2 linked regions of the Drosophila melanogaster genome follow. The main gene of each other region encodes a partner of the protein of the gene in region 2 in a complex. Each region holds a gene or a part of one and is shown on either strand. Other genes may lie near its edges.

Region 1 (4,833 bases), on a different chromosome or scaffold from region 2:
GAAATATTTTTCACGAAATATGTATTGATTTAATTAATATATTGTTACTTACTTGCAAAATACAAACCATAATTTGAAAACAGCCACAAAATTTATAATACACAAGAAAACTTTATCGATCTTTACGACTTAATATAGCATGCGAAACAAAAACGCCACGCGATTCTTTTCTGTCTCTTTTCGTGTTTTATATAAACTGTTTTTCCAATGCTTTCAAACTTAAGAATCGAATATAAGCAAATTTGAATATTTATTACTTATGGTAGTACATTATGAAGATATATTTTTTTACTAATGTGAAAACATACTAGCAATACTGTATATATATATATATATATATATATATAGTATTATATTAATCATATAATAATCAGAACAATCACAGATTATCAAGACAACCAGGAATCCGATATTTAGATGCGAGGCAAGAAGATATTTCAAAACTTAGTTAGCGTATCGATCGATTTCAAGTAAAAGGAAAATCGAAAAAAAAAAATTTCGACATAAAAGCTATTTAAAGCGTGCCAACCACTTTTATTCGTATCATTCCTAAAGCTTGTACAGCTAGTTGTCTTATTGAATTCCTTATTGTTTTGATTTCACAGACCGAGTTAAAGCAAAGACAATAGAATTACAAGATGCGTAACGGCCATTCATTGGTTTTGCACTATGCAGCCACTTTTTTGTTGACGGTCAAAATTGCTCTCTCTCCGCTTGAGTAAAATTGAGAGCGGTATAAAATCGAAAAAAATAATACACTTGCTTGTGTGTGCTAAAAGAATAAACGAGAAAGCAAAGACACTAGAATAACTAGCGTCTTTGGAGAATGTTTGTATGTGTGCGTACTTGTGCTAGAAGACGATTTTCGGGCAGAAATCAATTTTGATCTAAGATCCGATATAACATATTTAGAGTTTCGGGCAATTTCGTTGCAAAATGATCTACTCAAATAATATTTAAACATGTATGCCTTGACTATTAGATTTTTAAAGTGTTTCATATAAATGTTTCATATCTTAATTTGTGTTTATAATTAATAATATGTAAAACGGGACTGACGACATCTTTTGCGACATCAATTTTTAAAGTTGCAATGTGAAATATTTAAAAAAAAAATTACATTTCAAAAAATAAATTTCTAAATAATAATAAAAACATACATACATACATTAAACACATAAAGAAAACGTAGAGTTTCTTGACAGTCTCAAAATTCTTTTCTTTATATTTAATATTTATAATTTGTTTTTTGATTTATAAGTAAAACAAAAATATATTTCATAAAAAAATAGCGTTTGAACATTTTTACCTTTAAGGTCAAAAATTCAACTTATTTCACAGTGTGTAAACAGTTTCTTGACAAACTGTATATACAATATATAAAAATACGTTGACTGTTTATTGCAAAAATGATTTCTTGAGACACGAAGTGCGAACATAAGCACCCAACAATCATTGTCTCCTTTATTCTTACGCATACAGTGACAGCCGAAGAGGGCAGCTGGCTGTATATCTTTCCGCACTCTGGCTCTTAAACAAACATTCGAGAGAGCCTGGAGCCATCTCTAGAGCCAGCACCAAAAAATCGAGAGAAAAACAAAACAGAATGCTGTAGTCGAACGTAAAATTGCATACATTTTTTGGGATATCGATAGATAAAGATAAAATAAAAAGGATTTAAAAATGGTTTAAAAGTGTGGGCGTGACCGTTTTGTTGGTAAAAGGGGAGGCGTGGTTACGGTGTTTTTGGTATACCGATAAAAAATTGGCAAGACAAACAAAAATGAAAAAAAATCTAAACATTTTTTTAAAGTGTGGGCGTGACAGTTTGGGGAAGTTTTAGGGCGTTAGATTAGGCGTGGCAAAAAGTTTTTTGGCATATCGATACAAATTTACAAGACTAATTAAATTATTGAAAAATATCCAGAAATTTGTTCAAAAATGTGGGCGTGGCAGTTTTTGGCGGTTTAAGGGCGTTAGAAATTTTTTTTTTGTAAATCGATAGAAATTTACAAGACTAAAAAAAATGTGAAAAAATATCAACACATTTTTTAAAAGTGTGGGCTTGACAGTTTTGTGTGGTGTGTGGGCGTTAGAGTTTGCGTGGCAACATGGGTCACAAACTTGCGCTGCGTCTATGTTTTTAGAATCTGTATGCTGAATCTCAACATTTTGGCTGATCTTGATGCTGATATGGACAGACGGACATGGTCAGATTGTCTCGATCAAGAATATATGTATTTACATATGTTTGTATATACTTTATATAGTCGGAAACGCTTCCTTCCTCCTGCTACATAGTTTTCAACGGATCTAGGAACCCTGTTACTCTACGGGTATAACGAGTATAACAAATAGCGTATAGTCTGAATGACTAAAGGATGTAGTGAAGTAAGTTAAAGTAAACTTTACATTGTGTGAATTAACAATATGCTAGTGTAAAAGCGGCTTGCGCCGCCTTCATTGAGTTAAGCCTGCATATTACCTTTTAAAAGAAAAGTAGTGATGCAGTCTTGGTTTAAATGTAATTTTTATACTAACCAAAATTTCGTATTGATTCAACTTTACTGTTAAAGTTAATAGAAAATAAATGAAAAGTTGCTACAGCACCGACGAACTATTCATAAAAAAAAAATTCGAAAATCATATAACTGAAGCAAGCCCATGGCCAGATCGACTTGTCTAGTAATCCTGATCAATAATATAGTTATTTATATACATATGCTTAAATACTTTATGCATTAGGGAAACGCTTCCTTCCCTATAATATATTCTCCAACAAATCTTTAAGATTGTATGCAATTACGTATGTATGTATTTTTGGTGATATCAGATTCACTCCTAATTAATATTCTTATAGTGTTTTTGTACGCTCATACAAATTCAATCCAAGGAGATTGAATACATGAAGTTCAATATGTACAGATAAGTTTTCACATATAATTATTTTTATCACATATCTCAAATTTTTATCTGATTAACGTTTATAAATATGAACATACATATGTTCTTACATTCCATATTTATAATTAATTGATCAATTCCCACGTTAGATATGTGTGAATTTCATTTATCAGTTCCTGTGAAACTTACATTACTTTTATCTTGTCGATTTGCTATGATTAAAATAAAACAACACATAAAGCAAAATATCACTCAGGAACCTTTGATGCACAAAACATTCATTTGTTTGTATATCCACTTATACCGTACATCAACAGTGTTGTGACATGTAACGATTTTTGTCATGTGCGGAATGAGTGGGATTTTGGAAAAGACTAATAATTTCTTCGAAATTATATAATTTAATTTAACTTCAAAGACCGAAGTTTGGTAAAGACTTTCTAAGTCAAGCCGTTTCAAGATTTAGCACAACATAATGTAAATTAAACAAATTTTAAAATCTTTTTAAATGAAGTTATTCATTTTATCACCATATTACAATTTTTTAAATTAAAGGTATCTGATTGACCCCATGCGTAAAAGTAACTTGATAAGTTTACAATTGCAAATTTTTGGTTTACCCAAACCAAAAAACTGTAATAATTCATAAAAACAATTATCTGTCTCGCTTGTTTTTACGGTATGACAGGCACATTTTACCTACTGTCGCATTACGCCTAAACTGCCAAACAATTTTTCATTTTATTAATATTTATGCCAAAAGCTGGCATTAGCTGAATAACGGGTAAATAAAAAAATATAAATATAAAATAACTAAAACAGTTTATTTTACTCGGCGTTATTAATTGAAAACCGGGTTCTCCTTACCGAATACGGCTCGTTCAAAGAATAATAAAGAATAATTAGATGCTTAACTGCCATATATTGTTTTTGCAGGTTGCACTTTTTTTGATGACATCCGATTGTTTATTGCGACTCCGCGCGGCAATGTGCTTCCTTCTACATTCTTGGCTTTGACTTTACGCGACTGAACTGCCTCTCAGTTCGTTCAACGTATGATACGATAATATACTGTTATTCTACCGCTCGTTTTACATACGCTTACAAATGGTAATATTGTACCTAATTTCAACAACTGTCCTTAATGTTACCATTTTTCAATTAATTTCTCAAAAATTTACACAACATTTCTCATGTATAAGTTTTGACAAAATCTTTTTTACATGTCGGCTATTATTAAACATATCGTTCAAAATCGCTACACAAAACTCGTCTTTTCATTGCTCAAAAACAGCTAATAAACAATAATTTGCAACAAGCTCGCAAAGCTGTTTAAAGCTTTAACACTTCAATTAAGTAGCACTCCGGCATAGGACGTCGCTGCCCCCTCTTGGGCGAGCTATCTGGCTGGACTTCTATTCTATGTTTACTACGATAATAGATAGCCATCCTGAACTAACAAACATAGAAAAGTTGCAGCATCTAAGAACATGTCTGAGGGACACTGCACTTGAAATATCGGATGGCAACTATGCTATAGCATTGAATTTGTCTGTTTGTTTAATATTCCAGGCACACATTACTGAGATTCTAGGGCAAGGGCAGTTCAGAATGGTTCCGTTTCAATGCTTTGTAAACTGTGTGATAAATTCAACGCTCATATTCGCGCGCTAAATGGAATGGGCTCAACGACACAAATCGTTGGATGAATTATCGCCCAAGTACTTATCCAAAAGCTGGATCCGGAAAGTCTGGCGAAATGGGAGCAGCATTTGGAGAACCAGTCTTAAAGAATTCAATTCCAACATGGCATCGTTTCTGGAGCAGTGTTGCAGGACGCAGCCGTAACAAGCTATGCGTCAGTCAACCAGGTGCAAAGTAGCAGAACATCTGATTTGTGTAGGTCTGTCCTTCTTGCCTCAAGCCTCA
Region 2 (4,951 bases):
GACGCGGTGGCCGTGGAGGCCCCAGACCCGGTGGATTTGGAGGCGGACCACGCAGCGAGGGTGGCAACCGCGATGGCGGCAATCGTGAGGGCGGCCGAGATAATCGTGAGGGTGGAAACCGTGGCCCACGGGATGGCCAGCAGCATAATAACGAGGGCGGCGGTTCATCCGCTCAAAATCAAAGGCCACCCATCGATCGTCGCGGTCCGGGAAACAACCAGAACAACAATCAGAACAGCGGTCCAGGGCCGAATAAGCGTTTTGAGCGACAACAGAACACCGCTCCCAAGGTCAACGATGAGCGTCAGTTTCCCACTCTGGCTTAAATCGATCGTTTTGGGCAGGAGTAGGTTCCTCAAATTGCAGTTTTGGTTACTGACGATGGTGAATGAAAGCAGCAAGTTACCAAAATGAAAACTTATAAATTACGTATATCACAGACAACAAACTTTTTAAAAACTAAAAGAAAAATGGGGAAATTACGAAAACAATTGTAGCCGCCATTATAAGCCAAAAGCAACAAAAATACCAACCAACAAGCTAAGTAAAAAAAAACGGATAATAAATTATACATATGTTTAAAGATATATGAAAAGAGAACACACGAAAAGCAATTTTAGTTTATACGTGGCCAACTAAATCAGATTTTACACGATAAAATCGCGATCAAGCAAGTGACCTCGTGTAAACTAGTCAGTGTCAGGCTAAGTTATCCTCATTATGGACTTTATATCTAGTAGCTGTTCACAATACGAGATTTGTTTCGAGATTTTTTCTAAAACGGCAGGGGCGGTCATGGAAATTGTTTTATTGCATCAACCAAAACCTGATGTGAAGTTGTTTATTTTTATGTTATTACCACTCACCTAATCAAAAAATCATCCTACCTTATAAAAACAAATTACAGTCGCTAACCAGTGATCAAGGCGAATAAAATAAACTAAAGATAAAATATATAATATTCAACATCACGGCCTGATAAATTCTTCTTTGTAAAGAAGAAAAATACACTATTACAATAGTTTGTTTTCATCGAGAGAACAGTAAAAGCATTTTCATTACTCATAAATTTTTTTGTTCAATTACGAATCAACTTTTCGTAGCGAAATGTACGCTTTATTATTTTTACTATGTTAACGTTTATTTAAAATAAAGAAAAACAAAAGGGAGAAATATAAAAATCAGTGGATCGTGAAAGAAACCCAAAACCGAAAGAATAGTAAGTGTTAAAACCTTTGTAACTGTGTTTCTTGGATGCAAATTCTATGATTAAACATTTAAATTTAATAATTAAACAGAGGACTATGCATCATATATACTACTTTTAATTATAAATACCTAACTGAACTTACACACACACACGGAAATACAAAAACAAAACAATATTAATTTAAGCATTATTAAAGAAATAAAAACAAAAAATATTGATTAACTATTGGAGCAAATTAGAAACCTTTAATAAGTAGATTATAGTTGGAGGGAAACTTTCAAAAATATCCATTTCGAGTCATATGAGAGAACCACTCCCGAAAACGCTAATTTGAAGATCCCTGTAAAATCGTTTGCCTACAATTAACTAGAAACTATGTAAATTATATGAGATATATATTCGTACATACATGGTAAAATCAATTTTATGACGGCGAAACAAACACACAAAGCAAAGAAATGATAGAGCAAATGAATATGGAGGAAAACGTAGATGAAAAAATATACGACATTTTTTGAAATATTGTATTGTATTTTGACCCAAAGAAACCATTCAACAAATGTTGAGCAACTCGTTTAAACATAAAACAAGAACATTTATTTGATAAAAATAAAGAACCAAAAAAACACTTGATGTAAGTTTGAAAATTTTGGGGCAAAAAAGAATGAAAAAGTTCATGAAAGAGCAAGATGTAATTCGAGGAGTTACAAAAGATCATAAAGCGAATGGTAAGTGGAGACGGAAAGAATTACGGAATGAAACGAAACCTAAACAAATCTAATGCAGTATTCTCAATTTTATTCACGAAAACCTACAATGAATGAATTCTTTGTTGTGCTTGTTCTTATACTTTTAACGGTAAGTTTTTAGATGGAATGCAAGTGTTACAAATTGGCAAACACATAAAACAAAGTTGCACACAAACACAAGGCGAAAGATAGAATAGACAGAACAGAAAAGCCAACAAATATGCGGAAAAGCAAAAAAAAAAAAATTGGACATAACCCAGAATGAGAAAGCCGAATAGGACAACATTTCAAAGCGTAAATCAAGAAACGCACACGAAAGAAAGATACGATGCCAATAACCAGAAAATGGGACAATTTTTACTTTCAACTTATTTTCTTTTTAAAAAAATGAATCAACTTTACACGCAAAATCTTTTTTTTATATTAGACCTTTCAAGATCCTGTTAGAATAGAACGCAAAGAGGAAACCAAATTAGGAATTCATGTTCTAGGGTTGCCAAGCTCTCTAATTGCTACAGTCAAATAAGGAGAAAAATCCGTAATAAGTACAAAAAGGTGCTTCGACAACTCTGAAACATAACCGAAAATGAACGAATGAAGTCAAAAGGAGCTTAATAAAAGTAAGTATTCGAAAATTGTAAAACGAAAATGGGTGTAACAATATGAGAAAAATCCGTTAGAAGTACAAAAAGGGGCTTCGACAACGCTGAAACATAACCGAAAATGGAAGAATGAAGTCAAAATGAGCTTAAGTATTCGAAAATTGTAAAACGAAAATGGGTGTAACATTAATATTTAAATGGGATAGTTTTTACAATAGAAGAATTAAAAATGATAAGGGGAATAATATATGTAATACGTTTTCAAATGGTTTTAATTTTGCGGATTTAAAAATTGGAAAATGAAAAACTTGTCGAGTCAATTTAGACAAGTTTTAATGAGCTTATTTTTAATGTTGCAAAATTAAATCCGATTCAAAACTAATTGCATATCACTAAGATAGTCTCTTGCTACTTACCCTGCCTTTCAAGAGCAAATTAATTCTTTTTCACTTTATGTATTACCTTACAAACTTTGATAAGTTCAGATCACTTCGCGCAACGCAAAACCGAAAAGGATCTGTTAAAAGTACCAAAAATCTAGTGGTGGAATTTCCCATTGTGCTATCGCAATTCGATATTCACAATTTCGATAATTTATATATATAGCCGTTTTCCACTAACACATCAAATGTGATTTAGCTATTAATGAAATTGTAATATTCAAGCAACCTAAGTGATTCATTCATATGTACATACTTATATGTAAAGATGGTGGTGGCATTTTTAACATGGGGAAGTTCTTATTTATTTACTTTTTCGTTTGTTATAGGTGAATTCCTCTTTATTTTTATACAATATAATTTTATTTTACGTTAAGCAACCAATTTAAGGGCTATGAAACGTAGTAACTAACAGGAGCAACGAAGATAACATGGAAACATACAAAATTTGTATAAAAATATTGATTAGATAATAGTTTGGCTTGTTTATGCCACGTGTCCAAAGATATCTTTGATGACGCCTCCTCAGTGTTCTCCTGGTTGTCTGGTATGTGCCTGATTTAATTTGTTCTCAAACTGAAGGTGGATGCTGAGGTCATGTGCGATATCAACATTTCTCGCGTACCAGGGCGCGTTGGTGATTGTTCGCAACGCTTGGTTTTGGAGCCGTTGCCCTCTCACTATGTCCCACCGCCGATTTGACCCGCAGACGTATCCCGCTTGTCCCCAACAACCGCACTTCATCATAATACATCATCTCTAGACCACACTCAAACGATTTATTTATTAAAACTAAGTGATATATAGGGAATTGTTATTGAAGGTAATTAGTATAATTCAAAAACGCCCAACACGCTGTTCTTTCATTGAAATACAGTGGAGCCCTGCTTGCAAGCAGTGCAAGTTTAAAAAACATCGCAATGCTATGTGTGTGTACTCGCTTAAAAGCCAGATGTACATTAAAATACGGTAACACTGTTGACTTCTGAAACCCAAACTACTTCCAGTTGGGAATTGTATTAGCCATGGGAAGGCATTTCTTGACAAGCCACCGCCCGGTAACACTAAAACGCGTTAGGGTGTTCTGTCAACTCGTTCTGCGAATACAGAAACGAAAAAAATAGTAAACAACATTTATTGGAGGGAAAAAAAGAAATAGCCCGGCTTCCGCATAAACAACTGTCGCAGACCCGCAGCACCGATTAAAGCCGACAGCCGACGCCAGTTAACCTAACCTCTGATCAAATTAAGTGGGCCAAAATGAGCGTGGAGGAGGAAGTGTTTCGAATCCAAAAGAAGATGAGCAAGATGGCCAGCGACGGCACAGTAAGTATCGGGATTAGCTAACGTGCCGCGCATCATGTCACAAATATACATATATCCACCGTACAGGGACAGGATCAGGCTCTGGACCTGCTGAAGGCCCTGCAAACGCTTAACATCAATCTCGACATTCTGACCAAAACGCGCATCGGCATGACCGTAAACGAGCTGCGCAAGAGTAGCAAGGACGACGAGGTGATCGCTCTGGCCAAGACGCTGATCAAGAACTGGAAACGATTCCTCGCCAGCCCGGCGCCAACCACACCGAACAACAGCTCCGCTAAGGAGGGCTCCTCCAACAACAGCAGTGCCTCGAAGTCCACCAGTGCCGCCAAGTCGTCGTCGTCAATCTCCGGCAAGGATAAGTCCAGTTCATCCAGCTCATCCAAGGATAAAGAGAAGAAAGGCTCGACATCCTCGTCACAGACCTCGTTTCCCTCCGGCGGCATGACAGATGCGGTCCGCATCAAATGCCGCGAAATGCTGGCCACCGCACTGAAGATTGGTGAAGTGCCCGAAGGATGCGGTGAGCCGGAGGAAATGGCCGCCGAACTGGAGGATGCCATTTACTCCGAGTTCAATAACACGGATATGAAGTACAAGAATCGCATTAGGTCACGCGTGGCC

What was found.
Region 1: the proteins of vas (region 2) and gus are in contact, whole or in part, in a crystal structure (PDB 2IHS), measured with the Drosophila melanogaster proteins. Residues at the interface, in NP_001260458.1 of Drosophila melanogaster: Asp184, Ile185, Asn186, Asn187, Asn188, Asn189, Asn190, Val192, Glu193, Asp194, Val195, Glu196; in NP_001246140.1 of Drosophila melanogaster: Ser64, Leu65, Asn66, Arg79, His80, Pro81, Val82, Ala83, Ser85, Asp87, Gly112, Thr113, His127, Tyr131, Val218, Trp219, Gly220, His221.

Annotation. Positions count from the first base shown.
Region 1 is NT_033778.4:5,125,133-5,129,965, forward strand, and holds the start of gus (gustavus), read right to left. Parts: upstream 3,190-4,833; 5' UTR 3,094-3,189; intron 2,392-3,093; exon of another isoform or gene 2,271-2,391; intron 2,211-2,270; exon of another isoform or gene 2,117-2,210; intron 1-2,116. UniProt on the Drosophila melanogaster protein: Involved in the localization of vas to the posterior pole of the oocyte. Required maternally in the germ line for efficient primordial germ cell formation.
Region 2 is NT_033779.5:15,059,809-15,064,759, reverse strand, and holds the start of vas (vasa), read right to left. Parts: upstream 3,105-4,951; 5' UTR 2,978-3,104; intron 1,830-2,977; exon of another isoform or gene 327-1,829; coding exon of another isoform or gene 1-326. Other genes in the region: vig (vasa intronic gene), read left to right, coding at 1-326; TfIIS (RNA polymerase II elongation factor), read left to right, coding at 4,262-4,327, 4,394-4,951. UniProt on the Drosophila melanogaster protein: Involved in translational control mechanisms operating in early stages of oogenesis.